Linked DNA regions of Elephas maximus indicus. The protein of the gene in region 4 interacts with the protein of the main gene of each other region in a biochemical or structural test. Links are inferred from orthologs where the notes say so. Each region holds a gene or a part of one and is shown on either strand. Other genes may lie near its edges.

Region 1 (5,754 bases), on a different chromosome or scaffold from region 4:
GGCCGTTTCCGGCAGGGGCGGGGCGAGGGGGAAAGGATGAGCGCATACCTGGCAGCGGGCAGCTCTTCGTTCCCGCACAGGGCGACCCAGGCGCGCTCCCGTCCGCAGGAACTCCTTCCGCTGTCAGTTCGTTCTCCACTCCCTACCTACTCGAATTCGCATGCTGGGTCGCCGTGTACAAAAAAAGCACAAGAGCTTAGGCCCCCAAATGGCGGAAAACTTCAGTGCGGGACAGTGGGTGGCCAACTCAGAGACGCAAAACGGGCAAGCGCCAGTGACCTTACGAACCCAGTTAAGCCTGTAAAGCTCCAAGCCACCAGTTAAGCGGTCTATAAGCAGGTTAAGCAAACCTATCAACCCGTCCTATCTTTTACGCAACCCACCCCCGGGAACCTAGGGCTTCACCCCCCTAAACCTCTCCCCGACTTTGGGAGCGTCCACCCGGTGACGGCCCAGACTAAGTGACACAGCCGCTTTCGAATGCTGTTGTGGGTGGCTCTGAAAAGAGCCTTTGGATGAGATGGAACCCCGAGCCGAGTGCAGTGTAACTTAAGCCCGCTCCCCGCGGATGCGGCGGGCCAGCTGGATGTCCTTGGGCATGATGGTCACGCGCTTGGCGTGGATGGCGCACAGGTTCGTGTCTTCAAACAGCCCCACCAGGTAGGCCTCGCTCGCCTCCTGCAGCGCCATCACGGCCGAGCTCTGGAAGCGCAGGTCCGTCTTGAAGTCCTGCGCGATCTCGCGCACCAGCCGCTGGAACGGCAGCTTGCGGATCAGCAGCTCGGTGGACTTCTGGTAGCGCCGGATCTCCCGCAGGGCCACGGTGCCCGGCCGGTAGCGGTGCGGCTTCTTCACGCCGCCCGTGGCCGGCGCGCTCTTGCGGGCGGCCTTGGTGGCCAGCTGCTTCCGCGGGGCCTTGCCCCCGGTCGACTTGCGGGCAGTCTGCTTAGTACGGGCCATAACGGGTCAAGACACGAGCTAACCGGCGCAGCGACAGGGACAGGAATGCGAGCCCTCCAGCAGCAGCAGTCTTTATCGGCGCAGTCTCTCCCGGATTGGGCGGGAGGATAATTGAAAGTCCCGCGCTGACTGTCCATTGGCTGTGACGTCATCCGCCCTGGCGTCACCGATAGGCTTGGACAGAACCCTCCTCCGACCTCCCCCGCCAGCCCGCCCCCTTTCCTACTCTCCAGTTTGCCAACAGTTTTTCTCCGTTTTTCCCGATTCTTTCCTCGGAGAGGCGTTTTTGATTGCAACCTCGTGAGACCGTTTCTCCTCCGCCTATCATTCCTTTAGGACACGCTACCCGTGCCCCGCCTTTCTGCGCTGTGTTTGTAGCTCCGGAATGAAACATTTATCCCTTCCCCCCCAAATCTTGTAACCTTTTCACAGAGCAACCCACCCTCCCCCGGCCGCCCCGTTCGCTCTGGTTAATCGTTTCCTCCTGGTCGGTGCTTTTCCGCTTGGAAAGCTGTCCGCTCCCAAGGGTTAAGAGTTGGCCTGCGAAAGCCTAGTGTGGATCGGTATCTCCGCCGCACAAACGTTTTTTTTTATTCCCCAAGACGCTGGGCTAGGCTAAGCTGAGACTCGGGTCCGCTGCACTCTCGGAAACTGCTCCCCTGTAGAAGGGGGTGATAACGTATCCCTCAAACTAGGGTCGGGTCAGGTGGTGGGCAAAGCTTCGGGAACTGATAGTGGCGCACTCGGCGCCAAGCGAGCTAACGGGTTGGTGCTGCCCAGTATCTTCTTGTGGGTTAAAAGACCGTGGGTGGAGCCCAAGGTATTTGGTGCCTCCACTTGGGTTTAGTTCTAGTATGCGCAACTCACTCCATGAAATAAACGAAAAACGCTCGGAACTCAAAAGCTTGGGAGAAAAGCTAACAAATGGTATTCCACTTCCCACCCACCTCCTATATGGCGGCTACGGAAAACTCCGCTATCACTATCAAGAAAGTAGAACTGAGACTGGATATTGCAACAACTCTTTTCATTTGATAAGAGTGGGTGGCTCTGAAAAGAGCCTTTGGCTTATACGGATGACCACGGAGGACGGGGGCTGGGCGGGCAGTTTCCAGCCATCAACCTCACTTTCCTTTTGCTTTATGATGGCTTTCCGTCTTCTTCGGGAGCAACACGGCCTGGATGTTGGGCAAAACGCCACCCTGGGCGATGGTGACCTTGCCCAGCAACTTGTTCAGCTCTTCGTCGTTGCGGATGGCCAGCTGGAGGTGACGAGGAATGATGCGCGTCTTCTTGTTGTCCCGGGCCGCGTTGCCCGCCAGCTCTAGGATCTCCGCTGTCAGGTACTCGAGCACCGCCGCCATGTAGACGGGCGCACCGGCCCCCACCCGCTCGGCATAGTTGCCTTTACGGAGCAGACGGTGAACTCGGCCCACCGGGAACTGCAGGCCTGCGCGGGACGAACGAGACTTGGCTTTGGCACGAGCCTTGCCTCCTTGCTTACCACGCCCAGACATTACACCGAGAACACACGGACACAACTCTACCTAAACAACCGCCAAAGTCGCCACCAACTGCCCGGCTTCACCCTTTTATAGGCAGAACGGCGATTGTCTGCGGACCGTTTTGATTGGCTACAGCGCATCTTTGTCCTGAAAACCAATAGCATAGCTCGGTTAGAATCCATTCGTTTACATAATCTGGCCCGCCTCGCACCGGCGCCACTGGAAACCCGCGAATCACAGAGCAGCGTAGTCAGAACCGTCATTTGCGTACCGCCTCTATAAGTACCGAGCTGTTGCCAGCAGGCTCGGCTCGATTGTTTTGTTAGTGGTTTTGGGACGGGTTTTTTGTTTTTGTTTTTGTTTTTTTTTGCAGTTCGGTAGTTCTTATTATGCCTGAGCCGGCCAAATCCGCTCCTGCTCCTAAGAAGGGCTCTAAGAAAGCTGTTACCAAGGCCCAGAAAAAAGATGGCAAGAAGCGCAAGCGCAGCCGCAAGGAGAGTTACTCCATCTACGTGTACAAAGTGTTGAAGCAGGTCCACCCCGACACAGGCATTTCGTCCAAGGCCATGGGCATCGTGAATTCTTTCGTCAACGACATCTTCGAGCGCATCGCCGGGGAAGCGTCCCGCCTGGCGCATTACAACAAACGCTCGACCATCACGTCCCGGGAGATCCAGACGGCCGTGCGCCTGCTGCTGCCCGGCGAGCTGGCTAAGCACGCCGTGTCCGAGGGCACCAAGGCCGTCACCAAGTACACCAGCTCCAAGTGAGTCACCTGATGGGATGCAGCCTTCGCACAGTCTCCGGCTTCTTTGTTCCAAAGGCTCTTTTCAGAGGCGCCCATTGTGTCAACGAAAGAAGCTGTCACTGGCCCTATGGGTTTAATGTGTCCCCGCTGTATCTTGATACTGTCTTCAAGTCTAGTCTAAGAAAACTTAAACCTTGTTTAAACACAGGTATCTAGCTCGTTTCTGTCTCAAATGGGAAAAGAGTTTATGGCCGTGGAGGGTGGGGGAAAAACTTTGGGGGAGTAGGTGGGATTCGTCCTTCGTTCAATTGCTATTAAAATTGACGTTGGGTACCTGAATCACACGTGAAGGTTCAAGTGCTCTGGTAGTTGTTTTCTAGTGAAACACGGGTTTGTGCTGTATTAACCTTGATAAACGTTAAGCAGGATAAGTTACCTGTAAGAGCAAAGAAATACGATTCGGTTATTCCCAAGTGGTAAGGTTACTGGGAGTACTTAGATTTGTTCCATTACGTGCTCCTGTGCTGTGCACTGAAAAAGGATAATTTAGTTTCCTTCATATATGCTGCTGACTAATTTCTGGAGTTTGTGTCCTTAGTTCTTCAAAGCACCTGACTTAGGTGTTCAAGTAAAGATTCCCCAGTAAGGGAGATGGAATCTTGATTTTTAAATTTGGGAATTAAGTGCTGGTGTCTTCTCTCTGCCGCTTCTTACATCAAATAGCGTGAAGCCGAACCTAATTTAATCATGCAGTGATAATGTTTTACTCCCAAGAATTATCAACGGAGTTTATCCCTTTGTAACAACCATGTCGAGATACAGAAGACAGTCCCGTATAATAGGAACAAAATATGTATAATTTCCGAAGCTGGAGTTTGGAATGCAAAAAAAGTGAAAATATGGTGTAGCGCAAGCGGAATGTGATTGGTTTTAGAATTTATTTCCAGTGTATTGGGAACCCATTGGACTATTTTCAGGTAGGGTTGGATAATATGAGCTCATTAAACCTTTAAACCTTTAAAAAGGTTACTCTGATTGCTTTGGGGATCATGGTTCCTAGGCTGACAACAGCAGAAAACCAAAACCAAAAACCAAATGTGTTGTTGTTGAGTCGATTCTGACTCATAATGACTCTATAGAACAGAGTAGAACTGCCCCATACAGTTTCCACGGACTGGCTGGTGGACTGGCTGGTGGGTGCCGACTGCAGACCTTTTGGCTAGCAGCTCTTAACCACTGTCCCACCAGTGCAACAGTAAACCCACTGCTGTGGAGTCAGGCTCATATGACCCTATAAGAGAATAGAACTGCCTCAGGGTTTCCAAGACGGGCTAGTGGATTTGAACTGCTAACCTTTAAGTTAGCAACCGAGCTCTTAATCACTGCGCTACCAGGGCTCCGACAATGGCTCCGACAATAGAAGGCATCAAATTAAGAGGCTGTTGCAGCATTGTGAGCTGGATGTGGTTCTTAAAATCTGGCCTCCAGACCAACAGGAAGGAGTGCTGGTGGAGCAGTAGTTAAGTGTTTGGCTGCTAACCAAAGGGTTGGTGGTTCAAACCTACCCAGCTGCTCCACAGGAGAAAGACCTGGTGGTCTGCTCCTGCAAAGGTTACAGCTTAGGAAACCTTAAGGGGCAGTTACACTTTGTCACATGGGGTCGCTATCCACTCGCAGGCACCTGACAGACCAGCAGAATCAGCATTACCTGGGAATTTATTAGAAACGATAATTCCTAGTCCCCAGCAATCTAACAAGCCCTGGGAGTTGATTCTGATGCATGCTAAATTCTGAGACTCCCCTGGGTTTGGTTAGAGATACCCAACTGGAGTATGGTGATAGCAGTGGAGACTGTGAGAAATGGTGGGATTTAGATTATATTTTGGAAGTTGGATCAATAATCTGCTGACAGGATTTGGTTATGAGTGAAACTCCTAACTTTTTGGCTTGAGCAACTGGGTAGATAGCAATGTTCGAAATAAGGATGGACTCCTGGGAGGAGGTATGGTTTGGGGCATTGGAGGAGCTTCCGATTGAAATTTGAGAAGCTCTTTGATATTCAAGTGAATATATTGAGTTGGTAGTTTGACTTATCCAGGGCTCAGAAAACAGAACAAAACATTGCCTTTAAGGACTACCTCTGAACTTTATTTTTTCATGTTGTCATGAAATTTAATTTAGTAGTTGATAGCCCTACAATGTATATATTTAACTATGCAGCATTTATTTTTTCCTGTTTTCTCTAGTTGTATCCTGATTTTCATTAAAGAATCCACCTAATCCCTCATGTTAATTGGTTCTCAATTTTGGCCGCATATTGAAATTCCCTGGGGACCTTTAACAAGTACTGATCTTGGGTTCCACCCCCAGAAATTCTGATTTAAGTTTTATGGGGTAGCCCTGTGAAGTTGCCCAGGTGATTCTAACCCACGGCCAAGACTGAGAACCACTGCTCTACGTGTTTCTCAGAAAGCAGCTCTTAGGTTTAGGTGATGATTCCAACTCACGGCAATCCCGTGTGTGTCAGAGTAGAATTGTGCC
Region 2 (7,137 bases), on a different chromosome or scaffold from region 4:
ATAATTACAGTTTTTCTGCCAGTCATTCTTTCAAGTAAAAAATGGTGTTCCATGAAAAAAGTAGCTAGTTAGCTCGCACATCTCCAACAATCCTACAACCATCATACTTTTGTTATGCAGCAGAAGTGCTTTATGGATACTTCCATTTCACCACACAGAACACTAAATGACTCTAGGATGGAGATGAATAAGATTAATAATTCTTACTGCTTCATCAAGGGCATTCTTAAGTGAAAGTGACTTTTTAAATTCTTTTATTGCATGTGTGTGGCAACAAAGAATACAATGACTCTAGTACACATTGGTGCTACTGCTGTGATTCACGCTAAGATAACAGCAGTTTCACCCACCATTGCTTTTGCACCATCACTGAAAATGTCAACATAGAGAAAGAGATAGATAATGTCGGAATTGTTATGAAAATAGTTTTGGTCTGGTAGACTCCTTGAAACTGTCTCAGGAACTCAAAGGAACCTGTGGACCATATTTGGAGAACTACCTCAGGAGAATGTATCTATATTCAACGAATATTTATTACGCTCTTCCTATATATAAAAAATATATATATATATTTTCTTATATGGGCTAAGGTGGCGTAGTGGTTAAGTGCTATGGCTGCTAACCAAAGGGTCGGCAGTTTGAATCCGCCAGGTGCTCCTTGGAAACTCTATGGGGCAGTTATACTCTGTCCTATAGGGTTGCTATGAGTCGAAATCGACTCGACAGCACTGGGTTTTTTTTTTTTTTTTTGATGGAGTAAGGAGCCCTGGTGGCACAGTGGTTAAAGCTATCCACTGCTAACCGAAAGGTCGGCAGTTCAAAACCACCAGCCGCTCCTCTGGAGAAAGATGTGGCAGTCTGCTTCTATATTTACAGCCTTAGAGACCCTAGTCACAACAAATTCCATTGCTTTGGCTTGGGCTCCTATGGCCTAGGCACTATTTGGAGCACTAAGGATAAAGCAGTAAACCACACAAAAATATTCTGACCTTCTAGAGCTTATATTTTTAAAGATATAAGAACTTAGCACCATCTCCCTGCACATTACTCAATAAACGTTTTGAAATAAACTCATTAAATAATTTGCAGTGTAGGTTTCACAAACAGGTGGTGCCCTATCTCTAGTTTATTTTCACAACAGTGATTTCTAACATTTGACAATAAGTACCTGTCCAGTAATGATCCCTTCTCAGGACGAAACCAATCAATATTAGAGGCTGTGGTGTTTGATTCAAGAAGTGTTCATTTTAATTATTTCTTTCCCATTGCCATCCAGTGGATTCAGACTCAGGGCAGTCTCACATGTGCAGATTACAACTGCATTCCATAGGATTTTCAAGGCTGTGACCTTCCAGAAGCAAATCATTAGACCTTTCTACCAAGGCACCTCTGGATGGATTGGAACCTCCAACCTTCCGACTAGCAGTCAAGCACTTAAACCCAAAGACTTCTTACATTTTAATTAGAGTCCAATTACTACAAGGAAGTAACCTGAGAATCAGACTGACCTGGGGCAGTAAGACAGACTGATAGCTCCAAGGTATTTTTGCCTTTTAAAAGAGGGTGATTGTTAACCCCAATGAATAAATCTTTAACAATAGAATTTCAAGTAGCAGGTCAAAATGAAAACAAAGAATTTCAGACAGTACGGAGGAAAATACTTTCTGATTTCTACACTTCCCCTGGAGGATCCCTGGTGGTACAGTGTTTAAGCATTGGGCTGCTAACCTAAAGGCTGACAGTTCAAACCCACCAAGGACTCCTTGGGATAAAGAGATGGCGATCTGCTCCTGTAGATTACAGCCTTGGAAACCCTATGGGCAGTTCTATTCTGACCTATAGGGTCACTATAAGTCAGAATCGATGGCAAAGAGTTTGGTTTTTGGTTTTTATACTTCCCCCACTCTAAATCACATCTCATAAGCTGCTATCTACTGTACCTAAAATACCTCCCGTTTACTGAATGTTAGCTATATGTCATTCTCTTTATACAACATTACTGTTAATCCCACAACAGTGGTGCAAGAGAGGTCGTAGATGTTATTTTTGTGTTATAGATTTTCATGAAGGCTGAGATTCAGAGAAGTAATGCAGTTTGTCCAAGGTTATACAGGGGCCCTGGTGGCACATTGGTTAAGAGCTCGGCTGCTAACCAAAAAGTCAGCAGTATAAGTTCACCAACTGCTCCTTGGAAACCCTAGGGAGCAGTTCTACTCAACAGAATATAGTTTGATTTTTGGTTTTGGTCATACAGCACACAAATAGTAGAAACAGAATCCAATCCAGTTTGGCCTGCATCCCAAGCCCTTGTTCTTTTTGGAACATTATACTTCTTCCCTTCCTCACATTCCTTGTGATTTGAGAAACTTGATTTGACAGAAGCATTTCCTGTGGACATTAGCAATGCCACTTCAGATGTCTTGAGCGGTATTACTATGACTGAGTTGTTGTTCCTTTTAGAAGTAGAACTCTGAGGGTCTGAATAACTTAAAATGTCACCATTCTTATCGGAAAAGAGCTAAACCTATTTAATACCAACGGACTTTCAAAATGGATATTGTTAATGCAAACTTTAGGCTCTTACGTGCATGTTTCTAAGTAAGGAGCCATCACGGCTCTATGCCCTTCTTGAATTAAGGCTGCCAAATATTACTTTCTCATTTTTTGGTGGGAAGGCACAACTGGTTTATGCTAATCTGCAATCAGCTAAAAGCTCTCGTTAATAATCTGTTGTAGAATTCTGCCAGGGATGGATGTCAAACTTTCAAGCCTAAAGTTTCTGCTTTAGTGTTTAGGGACCCGGCACTGCACATCCAACCCAAATGTTTCAGGAAGAACTGCCCTTGTCTCTGCATCCCCAACAGCCTCTCAGCAAAACTCTATTATGATATTTCTGGGCTGGATTTCTTACATGGCAACTCTCCAGAGACCTGCACAGTGCCTAGCTCAGCAAAACTTATATAAATGCAGACCTCTGCATTCTGGGGTAAAATGCACTAGACTTTTAATTTCCCCTTTCCCCCCGGTTAGGGAAATAGTTTACTATTTAAAGTAAGAAAAAAGAATGTCACCTTTAGAAGTTCCGTCTGTATAGTTCCTAACTGGACAGGGAAAAGGAAAGTAAGGGAGAGAAAAAAAAAAAGCCAAAAATCTGGAGTGAAGAGATGAAGAAAAGCTTGATCACCTCTGTTTTCTGTTAGGTAGGAGGCAGAGATGTCATTCATTCATTTAATCATTTAAATGCCAGGGACTGCACTAGGCACTGGGGATACAGCAGTGAACAACACAAGGCAGGGTTTCCGTCCTCACCGAAGCTTGGCTTCCAGAAGGGAAGACAGATATTAACTAATGACATAAAGAAGGGTGTGACATAAAGTGGGGGGTGAATGTTACAATGGGAGATGGAATTTTTATTTGAACGGGTTTGGGGACAGCAATCTAGTTTAAATCAGGAGAACCAGAATACATCTCAAAACGCAACAAGCGTGGTTTGCTTGATTCTATGTTTCTTCGGTGTGGCTGGGTGAGGGGTGCTCACTGGCATAGCCAATGAAAAGGGTAAGTCCAGGATGCCTTGATGACACCTACCCAGGGGACCTTACCTAGTCTGGAGGATCAAAGAAGGCCTCCAAGAGGAAGTAATCTCAACAGTAAGGAGAGCGCTGGAGAGCTGATAAAATTCTGGTGAAGAACCTAGTAAGAGTCAAATGAGTCAAGGATATGAATTACACGTTCAAAATTTCTAATTTGCAACGTTCCAAACTATTGACCCAACTGAAACCCACTGCCATTAATCAATCCTGACTCGGAGTTACCCTACAGGACAGGGTAGAACTGCCTTAGAGTTTCCAAGGCTGTAATCTTTATGGAAACGACTATTACATCTTTCCCTGTTCTACCCGCCAAGCGGCTGGTGGATTGGAACCGGCAACCCTTAGGTTAGCAGCCAAACACTTAACCACTGCACCATCAAAGACCCTCCAAGCTACCGAAGACCTCCCTAAAGCCTTCGCATGCTGTGCGTGGCGGCGTATGATGCCGGAGCACTTCGGAACTTGTAGTCTTGGGCCGACTCTGAGCCCCATGATGCTGTGCGACGGGTCGTCACGCCTGCGCAGTGAGGGGGGCGGGCAGCGCAGAGTGCGAGGCTCTTTTGTTCGGCAGAGGGGGAAGGCCGTTGGTCCGGGCCTTCGGTACGTCGCTTCAGTGAGGGTCTCGACTGCGGCTCCTCGCCTTGTTGCTTTTGTGGGCGTCACTCCCCCGACCGGCCCGACGCGACGCGCCTGTAGCGCGGCACCGATTCCCCTCGGGCTTTTGGGCGCTGCTCTGAGGTGAAGAGCCCGCTAGAGGCGGGGAACGGGGGAGGGGGGTGGGAAGCGCGCGCGCGACGGCGGGAACCCGGGGTGAGGGGCTGCGCGCTCGCGACCGCAGTTGGGGGCGGGGAGCGCCTCGGGCCCCCTCTCAGGTTCCCGCGCCCTTCCCCTCCACTTCCCGCGCAGAGCTCTCCGGCTGGCTCGGAGGGTTGAGCGCCGGCCGCTTGAAGGATGGGGAGGGCGGGGCGGCGAATCCTGAGGAAGAGATTGAAGCAGTTCGGGGTGGGCCGAGTACTCGGGGGTCGCTCTTCGAGGGCCAAGTAGATGAGACAATGCTGCTTGGGTTGGGGTGGGCGGCTGTGGATTGGGCTGGAGAGAAAACATTTTAGTAAATTGGGAAAGGGACAGATGGGGCACCTTTGCTGCTTGGGTACGCGTGGGGAGAGGCTGACGACTGCGAGACCTAGATTTAGAGCTGTAACCTGAGGAAATTGGGTCCGCGGGAGCTACCAGAGGCGTTTTCGCTTGCGGGCTACGGAGAAGTAACTTTGAGTTGCTTTGAAGGGGGCGCTGGGCGGCCCAGGGGGTGCTGTTGGAGGAGGAGATATGCTGGCCTAGGTGTAAGCAGGGGGTGGGAAGTAACTTGAATAAATGGGGGTGGATCTAGGAGGAAATATTTCTCTGCCTGTCCTGGCTCTAGAAGGGGAGGAGCTGTTAGGATAAGTGGAGCCGAGGCCGCGAGGGTGCTTCTGTGAGGGGTGGAAGGGGAAAGCTGGCCGCTCTTGCTCATGGGTCCTTACAGTGGGGAGACTGTAAGAATAATGTGTGAAGAATGAATAAAACTCGCTTTCGTCACTTTTCCAGGTTTTTTACTGTCTTCATGATTCCTTTAGGAAATTCAAAACAAAACAGCCTAAGTGCAACTCTTGCTTTGATTCACAGTTCCATAAATTTTGATCTGGGATTGTTGCTGGTCTCACAGGAGGTGGTAAAATTGTAGAAATTTGTCGGTGGGTTCATAGTTAAGGAATGGAGTCAGATAATGAGACGGTGAGGTGGTGTGGGAAATCTGGAGACAAAGGAGAAAAGTATATGAGATGCTATTTTTGGGGGGGGAGGGGGCCCCAAATGTTTTTCTAGCCAGCCTTGTTAGAACAAAATGTGAATACAAAGTGGGCAATACTTTACCCTTTTTCAAAAGCACTGGAAAAAAAGTTAAGTACTAAGCTTTAGCTGAGGGGGTTTTGTGTGTTTGTGTTATGGTCAGACTGTATTGGTTTAATTAAATTGAGGTGGAGTTTACAAAAATAATCGTTTATTCCAGAACTGCCATCTAGGGATAAGATCGCTTTCTTAATTGTATGAAAAATCCTGTCAGCAGTTTGGGATAGTTCTGAAAGGTCCAAGGTTTTGGAATAGATACATAAATTAAAAAAAAATCAGGAAATTAGTGCCTTTGTTCCTCCCTTACAGACATTTATATGGAAAGTAGTATGATTGAAAGGCACCTGAATTGGAACTGGTCACACCTTAATGAAGCTTCAGGGCAGTGGAGGATCCTCAGTCATTTCCATTTTTCTCTGTGGTGATTTTTTTTTTGCATTGGCTGCTGTAATCTAAATTGTTTTTCATTAAAAATATAAGCAGCATGAAGCTTGGTGCTTCTAGCTTCTTAATTAAAGAGAACAAGTAAGAGTACTCTAGCCTTCTACTGGTTTTTTTTTTTTTTTTTTTTAATACAGGATACCTACAATTTTCCAACCATACAACTAAAGAAAAGAAGCAGTCGTATCTTCTTATGCCCATCTTAGGGACCAGGGAAGTGTTTTTTAAAAAAAGACACAATGAATTTTTATCATTTTACAGTGGTTTATCCAGCAGAATTTCCCTTTTTCATATACTCTCTGTGGTGGTATAGGAGATTTTGCATTGTATTTGATATATTTTCACTTCATAGGTTATCTCTGAAGAATTTTGGAGTGAAGTGCTAATGGCTAGTTTATACCAAAAAAAGCCCAAACTCATTGCCGTCGAGTCAGTTCCGACTCATAGCGACCCTGTAGTTTATAGGTTCCCATAAAATGGTGTTAGGCCTCTTGTTCATCCAGTGTCTGGTACATATTTATTAGACCATTCAGATTGTTGATGAATGAATGAATAGGGATTTGAGATCCTTTCTGAGAAGTGCAGATGTTACTTAATATAATTAATTAATGTGCATTTATGTAGTCCTTTTGCCTGTTCTAGATTTATGACATTTGGCAGAGTAGAACTATTGTTGTTGGCAAACTTGCATTAGCCTCATTTTTTAATGTACATGCACTGTTTTTAAATACAGAAAACGTATGTGTCTTAGTTATCTAGCACTGCTATAACAAAAATACCACAAGTGGATGGCTTTAACAGATAGATTTATTCTTTCACAGTTTAGGAGGCCAGAAGTCTGAATTCAGGGCACCAGCTCCAGCGGCAGGCCTTCTCTCTGTCAGCTCTAGGGGAAGGTTCTTGTTTCCTCTCAACACCTGTGGGTCTGGTGGTCCTTGGAGATTTCCATGTGTCTTGGCTTCAATCTTCCCCTGAGTCTAGGGGGTTCTCAGTGCAGGGACCCTAGGTCCAAAGGTTGTGCTCCACTCCCGGCTCTTCTTTCTTGGTGGTAGTCAGGTCCCTCCCTTATCTGCTCTCTTCTCTCTCTTGTATGATAAAAGATGTGACTCAAGTAAGGGTGTATCTTGAGTAAGGTGGTGACTTGAGTCACACCCTTTAGTAAGGGTGTTACTCAAAAGATACACTCCATACTAATCCTGTTCAGGATTTACAACACATA
Region 3 (7,189 bases), on a different chromosome or scaffold from region 4:
AATTTAAACCATATGTTAAACTGCATATTAGTTGTGTTACACCAAAAAAACTGTCTCAGCTGAACTACACAAGCTTCAAAGTCATTAATGCCTGATCTAAATTTACTTGACATAAATTTATTTTAAACAAACGTAATTATCATTTATTTAAAAGCTTTCTGGGGAGAAAAAAGTAAATATTCTGCGGTTCTTGAATGGTTATTAAAAGACTACCAAACTTTTACACAATCCTATGTCCAAGACATAAAACTTTGCTTTTAAGTAATAAGTAAACACTTTCAAAAAAATTCAAAAATAACTCTGGCTCTTTACAACCCGTGGTTGACTACGTATTTCAGAATTCAGTATCTGAAAAGTGCCATAATTAAATTATTTTCCCTTAACTGCCCCCTCTGGTGGTAGTTTTAATGAATCTCATCCAAGAAAACTCCAAAAAAAATACGGATTTCCCCCATATGCCCCCTGCGGGGCATTAAAGGTTTAAGATAGGTACAAAAATAAGCTCTCTTGAGCAAGGCAGGTTGATTTTATAACCAAAGTCTTCTACAACTTAAAAAAAAAAAATCGAATGCAGTTTTTTTTGGGGGGGGGAGGCTCTTGTATTTTGTATTTAAATGACAGTACAGAAACAATCTGGACCACTCTGCTAACCACAAAAAAATGTATTCACCTTATATATTAATATTTTTATTTAGCATAAGCATCTCACATTAAAAAACCCAACAAGAACGCTTAAATGCACTTAGAAATAATTCTGATGATTGCACAAGTTGAAAGTAACGTCTGAACTATACAATTAAAATGTTTAATAACTAATGTTTCGTTATATACATTCTACCACAATAAACAAAAATGTTTAAACCACCACCATAATTACTTGGTTTTTACTTATTACCACATTTACCAATAACACATTTGACTGGCTTATTTAAAAAAAAAAGCTCGGGCATACGGATTTTAATGTTCATCTGGCAAACTAGGGCATAAAACAATGTCTTAAATTTTACAAGTTGAAAAGAAAAAAATCTGAGCTGAAATTTTTAACACCTGCAAACATGCTACATTAAGAGCCCCTTTATCTGGGGTAATCATGGTCGTTAAACCTGCCTTACAGGTAGGTAACTTGTTAATTTTGAAAAAATATTCATAAACCAGGAAAATAGATTATATATCCAGGACAAACTACTGTGAAAGTGTAACAGACTAAAAGGTCAAATATATTTTCAAATACAGGAAGTGTTTTATTCCCAACAAGTATTACTGCTTTCAACCAATTCGATGGAAGTTCCTTAACGCAGACGATATTCTCCCGACTGCTCAAGAGAATACAGTAGAAGCCAATTCAGTCAGGGACTCCCCCTCCCCCAATATGGTTAAGTGTTTTCTGGGTTCTGAAAATGAAAAATAGAATTAACTTAAATTACCAAACTAAGCCCTTGAGCTACTGAAACAACAACACGCTGTCAGAACGGGTAACTATTTTGGATTCTCAAACTAATTTTTTTTATTCTATACCTTGTCACTAAAAACATCTCTTTAAACCCAAATCAATCACGGACATTTAATGCAAAAGCACATCCACAATCCTTAAAAACCAGTAACAAACGGCAAAAACGCATTACTTACCTCGGTCTGTTCCAAACTTACCCGATGTCCACTATCGATTATAAACAAGGTTATTTTATAAACGTGCTTTAGGGTCAAAGAAAATAATCAGGTAGACCCCCTTCGCTTGAGACCTTACGCTTAATCAATGCAATGACCAACCATGATTGCAAACAGAAATAAGAACAGCAAATAACAAAGTTCAAACACATAGCGACCTAGGCCCGAGACAGTTTTGGGCATAGCACTACAACGCATTACAATTTCGAGCCAGGATACAACTAATAAGTCATTTTTATTTCACTTTGCTCTGAACTTTTGGCTTGTCGTTCATGAAGATCCGCATGTTCACCCAGCAAACATCGAATTTTCACATAATTGCTATTCTGAATATGAATAAATCCTACAACTTATATATTAGTCCTTAGAATAATAAAAGATTCTGGAAAGAATATTCTCCCCCACATAATAATCTTCCCCACTGCCACCTCGTTCGTAATCGATACTAATCTAATGGCTCTAAATTTTGATATTTCCAAGTTTTCTGCGGTTAAACGGTCTTTTTTTAATCACTGCAAACCCAGAAAAATCCGTTATTAAAAGAAACACAAGCTGGAAAACATGAAACGGTTTCTTGGTAATATGGCTTGCCTAAAGGCCAGGCCCAAGGCCCAAGGCCCTCGGCTGTTACACCTTCCCTCTCTCGCGCGGTACCAACTGGCCCAGCCGAGCCTCCTCCCCACCCCCCACTCTTCTCTGTGGCTTCTGAACGCAATGGCGCCATTTCATCGAGGGGAAGGAAGAGCGCCTTTAACGAGGTGCGCAGGACTTAAAAGATCCGAGCTCACAAAACACACGAAATTCACCTCGAAACGACGTGGAAACAGCCCGAGAAGAGAGAGAAACAGTTAACTACTTCTATTCGGCAACAAAGTGATCACAGTAGTAGAATTTAAAGAGCAAAAACAAAAACGCTGCGAGGAAGGAGAGAAATGAAAATGGCGGCCGCCAAATCCGGTTCCCGGGAGAGAGGGGGAGGGGAAGCTCCGCAAACTCACGAGGGCCCCAAGCCCTCCGAAACGCTAGGACGCTGAGGCCCCTAAGTTGGCGTTTTTAAAAAGGGAATAGGAACTCCCGCCTCTGCACCCCACTTTCACTAAAGTGGGACTGCGTCCGCCATGTGAAAGTTCCCCATCCCCCAAACCAGTAAAAGGAAATGGCGCCGGGAGGCCGAGGGCGGTGGTGTACAAGCAGGCCTCCGCTAAGATCCCCCACATAAATGTCACAAGATCAACCGCCCCGGGAGCGGTCCGACTTCACTGCCGCTCTCCCACGGAGGCGGGTGGTCAACTTCCATTGAGGCGCCAACGGCCTCACCATGCCCTCTCCAGTAACTCATTGATTTCAAACCCGTTACCTCCATCGCGGACTCAGTCGCTTCAGCCCGATTTCCCGCAGCCGAGCGAGATGAGAGAGATCTCCGCGGACGAACACGAACCGGACTCGTCCTGGCGCTGTTGTGAGAGCTGCCGCTGCTCGAGAAACAACACCGCTAGGAGGACCTCCGCACGGGACCCGGCGCTGCTGCTACTGCCGCTAGAGCCGCTGCCGCCGCTTTTCTAGAACCTTCCCTCCGACTAACGCGTCCTCCCTTACGTCAGCTCGTTGCGTAAACGCCCTAACCGCCGCCAATGGCGGGAACGCTCTGCTCCCGCCTTACGCCAAACACGTACCCCTCCCCCTGCTTGCGGCTAGCGGTGGTGCTTGACGTTACTAGCGTAAATGGGACTCAGTGAATTGCGGAAGGCTCGAGTCTTGCGTATCTCCCTCGGAGTCGGGTCCAGCCCCCGCCTTAGCGCAGGGCAGGTGAGAAACGGTCGCGCAGTTTGAAATTAGCGCTGTCGGGAGCAGCTCAGTCAGCTGCCCGAAGAAGTAAAACCTGCCGCTGCACCTTTGATAATGCCCGTGGGTTCTCCCACCATAAAAAATACTGGTAGCCTTCCTCCCTTCGTTTTCCTCTTCAACTCCCTCCCCCCCTGTGCAGGACTGACTCGGCCCCTTCCGGAAACACCCGAAGCGATTTCTAGTCAACAAATTACTGGCCAACGTCCTTGGGGCCGGCCCCTAGAATTTGGTACTTTTTTTTTTGTTTTTTGTTTTTTAGGAAGGTCCTCCGGGAGGTACACTTCTCTTAGCTTCCAATTGTCCTTTCACCCCCAAGTTTTTCTCCACCTCCCTCCAAAGGAGGCAACCACTCCCAGGGGCGAGGAAGTGGGCGGAGTCCGGTTTTGGCGCCAGCCGCCGCGCTGCGGAGCAGAAAAGCCTCCGCGGAAAAGACTCCGACCACCGTCCCCGCCCCTCCTCCTCCCTCCCCTCTGGGGATCACCAGGCGCCAAGCCGCGAACGGTAGGTGCCGCAGTCACCGCCCCCTTCCCTGCCTCCCTTCCAACCTCCCACGGTCCAGGGCTCCCGACGGGCGCGGCCCCTCCCCGGCCGGGCGCGCGCGCCCTCCCGCCCCGCCCCTCGCCGCCCAGCGTGGGCGGTGCGTTTCTCCCCTCCCCCTCCCCGGCCCAGGCGGAGGCCCAGCGCGCAGCTCCCCAGCCCCCTCCTCTTCGGATGTGGCTTGAGCTGTAGGCGCGCAGGGCCGGAGACGCCGCAGACCCGGGACGTGGAGCAGCTCGGAGGCGGTGAAGTCGGTGTCTTTCTTTCTCTCTAGCTTTCACTGGGTGGTGGTGCTTCAGATGCTACATGCGCCCCAGGGACCCCCCCCTCCCAGTTCCCAGCTCCTGGATCCCGCCCTTCCCCGCCGGACCCAGAGTCGGGATCTGGCGGGAAGGTGTGGAGGGCAGGTGGAGGCCCGAGGCGAGCCGCGCTCAGGGCCGGCGTCTGTAGTTTGCTGAGGGTAGAGAGGTGTGGCGACAGCCGCTTTTTTTCTAGACAAAGCGCCTTTCTTCCCCTCCTCCCTCATCCACGTTCAAGAAGAGGGACCCTCCCCCGCCCGCATCTCCGGCCTGGGCGGCGAGTTGGGCCTCCCGGGAGGGCGGCGCATTTTCCCGCATCCGCGGGGCCTGGCACTGCACGCGGCCCGCTGTCCAGAGACGGCGGCGGACGCTCCGTTACGTGGCCGCCGCCCAGGTGCGGGGCCGGTGGCGCAGTGCCCTTGAACCCCGGCGCCGCGGCCTTTGTTTCTCCCCGCGGATGCGCTGACCACGAGGCCGCGCTCTCGGTGGGGGGCGGGCGCTTAGGCCTTTGCACACCCCAATCCATTTCGGAGGGTCCTGGGGCCAAGGGGAGATCGGGTGAATATGCAAGAGGTGATTTGTTTTTAAAAGTGTCATGAAATGGGAATGAGGCTTCACGGTGTGTTTTCCCTTTAGTTTTTTTTAACGAGTAATTGGGAAGAGGGGTGGTTTCTGAGAAGAAGTCAAGTTAGGGTTGTATAGGAAACTCTTTGGACTGTTAAGAGGTCTAGAGGAAAAATTCAGTATAGCTTACCGGTGTGGTTGGTTGGCTAATTTTCTCTCACTTTGAACAAAAAGGTTTGCCTTTGAATAAAAAAAAAAAACAGAGCTAAACATAGAATTTGGTGTAACTGGGATTTAGAGTGGAAAAAATATTTCTCCTGTTTTTTGCACCATGTAAAGCTCAGTCTCAGGTGCAGATGTCCCTCCCTTCCCCCACTTGGATAAAAGTGATATATTACTTTAAGGCATATATCATTAATAATTCACGCAGGAGCTTAAATCCGCTTCTCTATGGATTTCTATCCATGTTTGATATGTGCGCTACCGACGTGGGGGTTGGAATCCAAGCAAAACTTGTGTTTAGCTACCTTTTTTTGTGTCATGCAAACTTCCTTTTAACTGTCATGCATTTTTCTAGTAATAGCTCTTCAAGTCTGCAATAAAAAATGGCCTCCAATAAAACTACATTGGTAAGTTAATGAAAACCTAAATACATAAGGATCTAACTCAAGCTTTTTTCCCAAAAATTATAACTTTGCATCTCTGTGGTTGGAGAAATTTACATTCATATATTCCCCACACACCCCAGGCCCCCAGTATTATTATGGGGAGAATTAGGGGCAGAAAATTACATAGAGATTCTTACTGACTTGCCTTAATACTTCTAATTCAATTAAATAAACCTAATCTCTTGTCTAGTTCTCAAGAGTTTAGAAGGACAGTACAGTATGAATTTTGCCCAGTACTTTTTTCTTGCGATAATAAAATACAGAAAATTATGGAACATGGAAAAATATGTTAAAAGGATAGGCCGTTGAAACAGTAAAGCCACTGTTGATTGGTATAATAAACCACTGTACCTGAATTCTGGAGAAACCAAGTATTTTCAGTAATATTCAGTTTAAAGAACCAGATATCTCGTGCACCTAGTTTGGGGCAAATGTTGTTCAGTTTTTCAGATTACTCTGGTCACTTTGTCATATTTCAATTTTGTTTAAAACGCATGAGGACCTTTACATTATTGCGGTGGTTGTTTTTTAATATACAAAAAGAACCAAATCACTATGTGTGTGAGAGAGAGAATACTAAATCTGCTGGATCTTTTGAGCAGTTAAATTTTTTCTCTCCAGCCACAGCATCTTAAACCCAAAGTTGACGTATTTTAGGTTTGATTAAAAGTTTAACAAATGTGTAAAGGCATGTAGAGTCAGCCATATCAAACTATAAATCAAAAAAAAAACTGGAATGTTCACATAAAAATCACGAAATTCAAAGTTATGGTTCCCACAGTATTTAATTCTAACACATTGCATTAATAGTAATCATAAGCATGTAAAGGTGAGTGTTAACATCTAAGTAAAGGGAAACATTTGGTTTTGATCTGCATTCATTCCTTGGTTTCTACACTAAAAAGGGCAAATTGGTTATTTTGAATTTGTGCCATTGTTAGATTGCACATTTAAGTCAAAATACACTAGGACAGATTGAAATATAAGGCCTATCTGGTGAGTCCCTGGCATGAATGATTTCCATATATAGTTCAAAATCATTAGTGGAGAAAGCATCTTCTGTGTCCCCTCAGGATTGGAGCTGGCCTTCAAATTCCATTATCAGTCAACCAAAATGTAGGTACTAGAATTGGGTTACAGTCAACTTTATCCTTCATCAAATAAGTATTGGGTAGGAAAGGAATTAGCTGTCCATGAGGCAGAAAGTTCTGAGGATGAATATACATACAGAAAACACACACTTGCTCCCATTAAAATTAAATTGCTTTTGCACAGTTTGGTAGTCTTGGTGTTTGTAATTTATTTGTGTATAAATATTTTTTTGTAAATGATCACAAATTGAGCAATTGTAATGTGTGTGTGTTTGGTTTTTTTTTTTTTTAATATGTGAGAGATGTGAGCTATTTTTGAAATGGGAAACTGAGTTTTATATAGTAGGAAGTGCATTTTGCCTCCAAAATCCACTTTGTGCTGGAAAAATAAATCTGGCTTAAACCAAATAAATACTTCTATTTTAAAAGAAGGGCATTTGAAACTAGCTTATGTATCCCAAGATAATAAATATAATATAGCCCCCCCCCCCTTTTTTTTTAAGTGTGGGTCCTTTTCTTT
Region 4 (7,079 bases):
TCGGCTTCGGAGAGCCAGAGACCTTTGTCTCTGACCGGTTTCCTTCCCAACCAGGGTTGCCCACCCCCGCCACAATGGCCTCTGGGGTGGAAGTCCTGCGCTTCCAGTTGCCTGGCCACGAGGCCGCTACCCTGCGAAACATGAACCAGCTCCGCGCAGAGGAGCGGTTTTGCGACGTGACCATTGTGGCCGACAGCCTCAAGTTCCGTGGCCACAAGGTCATCCTGGCCGCCTGTTCGCCGTTTCTACGGGACCAGTTCCTGCTGAACCCCAGCTCTGAACTGCAGGTCTCGCTGATGCACAGTGCGCGCATTGTGGCAGACCTGCTCCTCTCTTGTTACACCGGCGCGCTGGAATTCGCTGTCAGGGACATCGTCAACTATCTGACGGCAGCCTCCTACCTGCAGATGGAGCACGTGGTGGAGAAATGCCGGAATGCCCTCAGCCAGTTCATTGAGCCCAAGATTGGCCTCAAAGAAGATGGGGTCAGCGAGGCTGGGCTCATGAGCGGCATCACTACCACCAAGTCCCTCCTCCCTCCTGCTAGGACCCCAAAACCAGCCCCCAAGCCTCCTCCCCCACCTCCTCTACCCCCTCCGCTCCTGCGGCCCGTGAAGCTGGAATTTCCTCTGGATGAGGATCTGGAGCTGAAAGCCGAGGAGGAGGAGGAGGATGAGGACGAGGATGTGTCTGACATCTGCATCGTCAAGGTGGAGTCGGCCCTGGAGGTGGCACACCGGCTCAAACCCCCAGGAGGCCTGGGAGGGGGTTTGGGCCTTGGGGGCTCTGTGGGCAGCCATCTCGGGGAACTGGCCCAGAGCAGTGTGCCCCCCAGCACTGTCGCCCCTCCACAGGGTGTGGTCAAGGCCTGCTACAGCCTATCAGAGGACGCAGAAGGGGAGGGCCTGCTGTTGATTCCTGGGGGCCGGGCGAGCGTGGGGGCCACCTCAGGTCTGGTGGAGGCAGCAGCAGTGGCCATGGCTGCCCGGGGGGCGGGGGGCAGCCTGGGGGCAGGGGGTAGCCGGGGCCCCCTGCCTGGGGGCTTCTCAAGTGGGAACCCCCTGAAGAACATCAAGTGTACCAAGTGCCCAGAAGTGTTCCAGGGCGTGGAGAAGCTGGTCTTCCACATGCGGGCGCAGCATTTCATCTTCATGTGCCCGCGCTGCGGCAAGCAGTTCAACCACAGCAGCAACCTCAACCGCCACATGAACGTGCATCGCGGTGTCAAGTCGCACTCATGTGGCATCTGTGGCAAGTGCTTCACGCAGAAGTCCACACTGCACGACCACCTCAACCTGCACTCAGGAGCCCGGCCATACCGCTGCTCCTACTGCGACGTGCGCTTCGCCCACAAGCCTGCCATCAGGCGACACCTCAAGGAGCAGCACGGCAAAACCACAGCCGAGAACGTGCTGGAGGCCAGTGTGGCCGAGATCAACGTCCTCATCCGCTAGCGGGGCAGGTGCCGGGGCAGGAGGCCGGGGTCCCTGGGCTGGGTGGGAAGGTGCCTCCTGTGGCCTGGGAGAATAGGGGGGTAGGGGGTCTGGGGCAGGAAGGTATATTGGGGAACCTGAGGAGAGGCATTCTGAGAGGCAAAGATTTACTGCTGAAAAGATCCAGCCTCTTCAGAGCTGAAGAAAGGACAGATGGAGAGAGGGTCCTTTGAGAAAGCCAAGAGAATATGGAGTCCCAGAGAAAGATTTTCTTCTCTTAGAGGTGCATGGATATGTGGAGGGAGGGGAAGGGTCCTATAGAACGAATAGAAAAAAGACTGGAAAATGTTTTATTCTGGGCTAAGGCTGCCCAAGGGGAGGTTCTGACATTTCTTGAGGTAGGGATTGGGTGGGTGGGGCTTGGGAGGGAATTTGGTGGGGGCAGCTTACATGCTCCTGTTTAGAATAGATCTTTGGGAGAGGGAGTGGTAGAGGGAAAAGATGATCGAATCCCAGAAAAGGAAGCTCTTGCATGCTGGGGGAAGGGGGTACAATTTCTAGAGGGAACAAAGTAAGGTGCCAGGTAAAAGAACACAAAGATGAGCATCCTAGGTAGATACTGGGAAGTGAGGGTTGGAGGGGAGGGCACTTAGAAGAAAGGACACGAGAAGGGCTGTTGGGGAGGGAGAGGAGTAGAGACTTATACAGTATTTTTTAAGAAAACAAAACATATTTTTTAGGATCTTTTTGGAGTTTGGGGTTTTAGTTTTTCTGCTTTTATTTTCCACAAAATAAAAAACAAAAACTTGTTTTTTCTTTATACTCTGATAATTGTGTATGAGTGGCCCTTTTTTTTCCCCACCAGTTCTATGAGCATCCCACCCGAGACAGCCTCTTCCTCTGATGCTGTGTCTTCAGTACCCAGAGGTCACAATTCATGCAGGTCCCATGGCTGAAGGAGCCCAGCCTTTGGGGCAGGGGGCTCCTCTGGCCAGGGACTCTCAGTCTTGTAACCTCAACATGTAGCAGGGTAACTCATAGCACAAATGTGCTGCAGTTGTTTGGCAGTGATGATGTTACACATAACTGCTCCTTTTTGAGGAATTTGGTATCAGGGCTAGGGATGGGCTAACGGTAGTCAGTGCACCCACTGAAATTGCAAGCAGAATTCTGTGTTGGACTTTTTTTTTTTTGGTCTAGAGAAAGGTCCATCCCTGTTCAATGGGAAAGTTAAAAACCACTGTTTGGGCTAGGGTGCAGGGAAGACTACAAGTCCCAGAAAGCTCTGGAATAGTTTTTAACCAAACAGTACTACAGTTCCCAGAAGGCCTTGAATTGGCCTCAGGTGCCCCATATCACAACCACCTGCCTGGATCCTATGCTGCGTGTGAAATCATACAGATATTTCCAAACTTTGGCCAGAATGCAATACCTAAAGGGATGGTACCCTAAATACTACTACCTACTTCCACGGACAGTTGGACTACGTACGACCCATGGAGTGCCTGACTTTGTTTGTGAAGTGTTTAGTAAAGCTTACTTACTGCAGTGTCACCAGATAGTAATGACTCTCGGGCCGCTGGGGGCTTACCTGGATCCCTAGTGCGTGTGATGCTGTAATACGCCCTGCATAAACAGAAGAGACATTGAGTCCCAGGTTTTTAAAAGGGAACCCTGCTCCAGGGGACAGAAGCAGAGTGTCAGAACCAGCCAAGAGTAAAGGTATCCTCCGCGCGGCCCTGTTGTACCCTTTTTGCTCGTTAGAGAAGTGAGGCCGAGCCTATCTGTTGACCCAGAAACTAGAAAGCGAGCAAAGCAACCAGCGGCGGGAGACGCTCACGAGGGCCACAAGAAAATACGGCCGCTGTCGGGAGCCGGGAGGCTCACAACTCTGCTAGTTACCTAAAACCAGGTAGGGGTGGAGAAGCCACACCTGGAGACGGGCGTGCCTCGCTCTCGGTTCCCCGCAGAGCTGAGGTGAGGAATGGCAGGAATTCTCGCCTGTGGCCCCCAGCTTCGACCAGCCACCGCCATTTCCAGCGCTGCTCCCGGAGAAAAATAACCAGCAAGCACGTTGCGGCTCCTTTAAGGCTCCTCCTCGCCTTCCCGCCCCCCCGATCACGTGACGCGGGGCGGCCGCGCGCCGGCTCGGCCCCTCGCGCGAGCGGCGATGGCGGCGGCGGCGGGAGCTGCAGCGGCGGCGGCGGCCGAGGTGCGGAAGGGGAGGGGGAGAGGCGGGTGCATGCCCGCGCGCGCGCCCGGGGGAAGCGCGCACCCGTGCAATGCTCCGGGGGTGCAACGGGGCCGGGGGGCCCGGGCGGGACTTGGAGCAATCCGGGGGGCCAGCACCGGGGGCGGATGAGGGGACCAGGGGGTGGGAGGTGGGGGGAGTGGGCACGGAGGCGCGCATGCAGCCGCCGGCTGCCCCCGAGTGGGTGGCGGGCGCCGCGGCCCCAGCGGCACGCGCGAGGGGCACGAGGGGCCGTCCGCCGGGCTGGGGGGCAGCGGGCGCTGGAGGGGTTGGTGCCAGGGGTCCCCGCGGCCTGGGGGACAAAGGGGGAGCGGCGCGTACAGCCGGGAGGAGGGGGCGGGGCCGGGGCGCGGAGGCCCCGCCCCCTCCCCCTCCTCTTCTCTCTGCCCCAGAGATGCGGGGTCTACCGAGAGGGAGGGGGCTGATGCGGGCTCGGGGGAGGGGTCGTGCAGCCCCTCCGGGCAGCCGAGGCCGCGGAAGGGGGGGCACCCATAGGGGGAGAGGTAGGCCCCGAAGCCTGCTCTCTCTTCCCAGGGCCCAGGCGTCCTGGGCCCCCCAACTCCCTACTGGGCTGACCAGCTCTCCCGTCCCCTGTCTCCCCTCCCAGGGGGAGGCCCCCGCTGAAATGGGGGCGCTGCTGCTGGAAAAAGAGCCCAGAGGAGCCACCGAGAGAGGTGAGTGTGCGGCAGAAACGGCCCACTTGAACCTTCATCAACCCCCAGCACAGGATCCCGTGAGTTCTTAGCCCTGAACTTTTTTATCTTTCTTATCAGTTCATGGCTCTTTGGGAGACATTTCTCATAATGAGGAGGCCCTACCCAAGGCCAGCCCTGATCCCCTGGAGCCGGCAGGCCCCTCATCCCCAGCTTCTGTCACTGTCACCGTCGGCGATGAGGGGGTTGACACCCCTGTGGGAGCCACACCGCTCATTGGGGATGAGCCTGAGAGTCTCGAGGGAGATGGGGACCTCCATGGGGGCCGCATCCTGCTGGGTGAGAGGCTGGGGAGCCTGGGGTCGGGGGGAGTACCATGGGGGGGTCCTCCGAGCCTTCCTTGTTATTTTACATTATGTCTGCCTGTACGTCTTGTCTTCTAGGGCATGCCACAAAGTCATTTCCCTCTTCCCCCAGCAAGGGAGGCGGGGGTGCCTGTCCCAGTCGGGCCAAGATGTCAATGACAGGAGCTGGGAAGTCACCCCCCTCAGTCCAGAGCTTGGCCATGAGGCTGCTGAGTATGCCAGGGGCCCAGGGGGTGGCAGCAGCAGGGCCTGAAGCCCCTCCGGCCACCACCAGTCCAGAGGGGCAGCCCAAGGTCCACAGAGCCAGGAAAACCATGTCCAAACCCGGAAATGGACAGGTGAGGGTGGGGGCAGGGTGGGGGGAACTAGGGTAATTGACCATAAAGCCCTTGTGGGCTTTTTAAAAACTTAATTTCAGGTCTCTTGTAGCTCATTTACTTATTTACCAAGGACCTGTTTTTGTTGCCTGTCAAGTAATGGGCTGGGGCCTAATCTATGAACAGACGCTGTTCTTCTTAGAGTTTATTTTTTCAGAGAAAAGGAGGAGAAAAAAAGACATGTTAAAGAGTTAATTGTATAGTTAATGTCTTAATTATTTTTGTGATAACGAGTATGTAAAGGAACTTCAAGGCACTTTTTCTTTCTACCTCTAAGCAAGCCCTCAGGGGGATGTTTCCCTCCCTTTGAAACCTGTCCCTGCTCCGTTTTAAGGTTTTATTGGGAATTCCTACGGGAAAGAATGTGAGGGCCACAGAAATGGCAAAGAAGGTAAATCACAAAGTCCCCAGAATCTCAGAAGCTTTATGGTAGGGTTTTTAAGGGCTTTTGGTATGATCTGTCCTGAATGTAAGGAGCCCTGGTGGTGCAGTGCTTAAGTACTCAGCTGCTAACCGAGAGGCTGTTGGTTCGAATCCATCAGCAGCTCTGTGGGAGAAAAACATGGCAGTCTGCTTCCATAAAGATTTACACCCTTGGAAACCCTGTTCTACGGAGTCGCTATGAGTGGGTTTGGTCCTGGATGTGGTTTTGGCCGTTTTCTCATCTGTAAAATTGGAGTAGAGGGTCAATGATTAGAAAGATAAGTAAGTGCTTGATATGGAAAGTGGTTGATATCTTGTTGTTATATTCTGGTTCTTGGAGCACCAGATGGCATTTTTGAGGGTATGTCTCACCAACCTGCTCATACCTGGGACTCCAGGCTAATCAGCAGAACTGTAGGTGCTCCCTGATCCCAAATGCTCCCTCTCACCCCCAGCCCCCAGTCCCTGAGAAGCGACCCCCTGAAGTACAGCATTTCCGAATGAGTGACGACGTGCACTCTCTGGGGAAGGTCACCTCAGGTCAGTTTCACCTACTACCCACCCGCAGCCTGACAGTAGCCATTCTTGAAGGTGTAGGGCACAGGCCTCATCCCTTTCATTCTCTCCTTCCAGATGTCGTGAAAAGGAGGAAACTGAACTCTGGAGGTGGTCTGGTAAGCCAGGAGAGGCAGGGAGCGAGGCCTTCCCACCTTGGGAGGGAAGGACTGCTTCAAGGGTGTAGACTCTGCGGCCACACCCTGCGTCCTCGAAGTGGGGGCTAATGGGAGTGGTTACCAGCAGCCTCAATTTTTCTGATCTTTTTCTAGTCGGAGGAGTTGGGTTCTGCCCGTGGCTCAGGAGAAGTGACCCTGCAGAAGGGGGACCCTGGGTCCCTGGAAGAGTGGGAGACGGTGGTGGGGGACGACTTTAGTCTCTACTATGATTCCTATTCTGTGGACGAACGCGTGGACTCTGACAGCAAGGTGAGGTCCGCAGGCCTGCCCTCCCCCACCAGCACTCCCCCAGGTCCAGGGGTTTCTCACCAGTCTTTGTTTTACTGTTTATTGGCTTTTTGTTTGGATTTTATGATTCTCTTGCTCTATAATGCTATATAAAATGCTTTAAAAATCTAACACAAGTACTTACTGGATTGTCTTAAAGTAAATCCCAGGTACCGTATCGTTTTATCTGCAAGTATTTTTATGTGAGTCTGTCAGCATAAGGAGCCCTGGTGGTGCAGTGGTTAAGCGCCCAGCTGCTAAGCAAAAGGTCAGCCGTTTGAATCTACCAGACACCCTGCAGGAGAAAGATGTGGCAGTCTGCTTCCATAAAGATTTACAGCCTTGGAAACCCTATGAGGCAGTTCTACCCTGCCCTACGGAGTCACTGTGAGTCAAAATCAGCTCAGTGGCAGTGGGCTTGCTGTTTTTGGTTTTTTTTTTTTGGTCTGTAAGCATAAGGCTTTTTGTGTTTTGACATCACCGTGTTACTGTTTTTGTATCTAAGAATTTTACCATTGATTCCTTAATACTGTCAAACACCCAGTCGGTTTTCATGTTCCCTCAATTGATTCATAA

The links.
Region 1: of the proteins of EHMT2 (region 4) and histone H3, one has a biochemical effect on the other in vitro, tested with the Homo sapiens proteins (3 studies listed by BioGRID). The link is inferred for Elephas maximus indicus from reciprocal best matches to the Homo sapiens genes EHMT2 and H3C14.
Region 2: the proteins of EHMT2 (region 4) and CBX1 form a complex in vitro, tested with the Homo sapiens proteins (2 studies listed by BioGRID). The link is inferred for Elephas maximus indicus from reciprocal best matches to the Homo sapiens genes EHMT2 and CBX1.
Region 3: the proteins of EHMT2 (region 4) and CBX3 are reported together in a solved structure, tested with the Homo sapiens proteins (2 studies listed by BioGRID, with this or other methods). The link is inferred for Elephas maximus indicus from reciprocal best matches to the Homo sapiens genes EHMT2 and CBX3.

The regions. Positions count from the first base shown.
Region 1 is NC_064821.1:184,006,013-184,011,766, reverse strand, and holds histone H3, read right to left. Parts: upstream 1,013-5,754; 5' UTR 961-1,012; coding exon 550-960; 3' UTR 511-549; downstream 1-510. Other genes in the region: histone H2A type 2-A, read right to left, coding at 2,085-2,477; histone H2B type 2-E-like, read left to right, coding at 2,855-3,235. UniProt on the Homo sapiens protein: Core component of nucleosome. Nucleosomes wrap and compact DNA into chromatin, limiting DNA accessibility to the cellular machineries which require DNA as a template.
Region 2 is NC_064837.1:45,401,670-45,408,806, forward strand, and holds the start of CBX1 (chromobox protein homolog 1), read left to right. Parts: upstream 1-4,121; 5' UTR 4,122-4,331; intron 4,332-7,137. UniProt on the Homo sapiens protein: Component of heterochromatin. Recognizes and binds histone H3 tails methylated at 'Lys-9', leading to epigenetic repression. Interaction with lamin B receptor (LBR) can contribute to the association of the heterochromatin with the inner nuclear membrane.
Region 3 is NC_064826.1:87,352,174-87,359,362, forward strand, and holds the start of CBX3 (chromobox protein homolog 3), read left to right. Parts: upstream 1-4,170; 5' UTR 4,171-4,297; intron 4,298-5,487; 5' UTR 5,488-5,515; coding exon 5,516-5,539; intron 5,540-7,189. Other genes in the region: HNRNPA2B1 (heterogeneous nuclear ribonucleoproteins A2/B1), read right to left, coding at 3,023-3,028.
Region 4 is NC_064819.1:93,416,087-93,423,165, reverse strand, and holds the start of EHMT2 (histone-lysine N-methyltransferase EHMT2), read left to right. Parts: upstream 1-4,078; coding exon 4,079-4,358; intron 4,359-4,457; coding exon 4,458-4,676; intron 4,677-4,780; coding exon 4,781-5,040; intron 5,041-5,957; coding exon 5,958-6,042; intron 6,043-6,135; coding exon 6,136-6,176; intron 6,177-6,329; coding exon 6,330-6,485; intron 6,486-7,079. Other genes in the region: ZBTB12 (zinc finger and BTB domain-containing protein 12), read left to right, coding at 75-1,454. UniProt on the Homo sapiens protein: Histone methyltransferase that specifically mono- and dimethylates 'Lys-9' of histone H3 (H3K9me1 and H3K9me2, respectively) in euchromatin.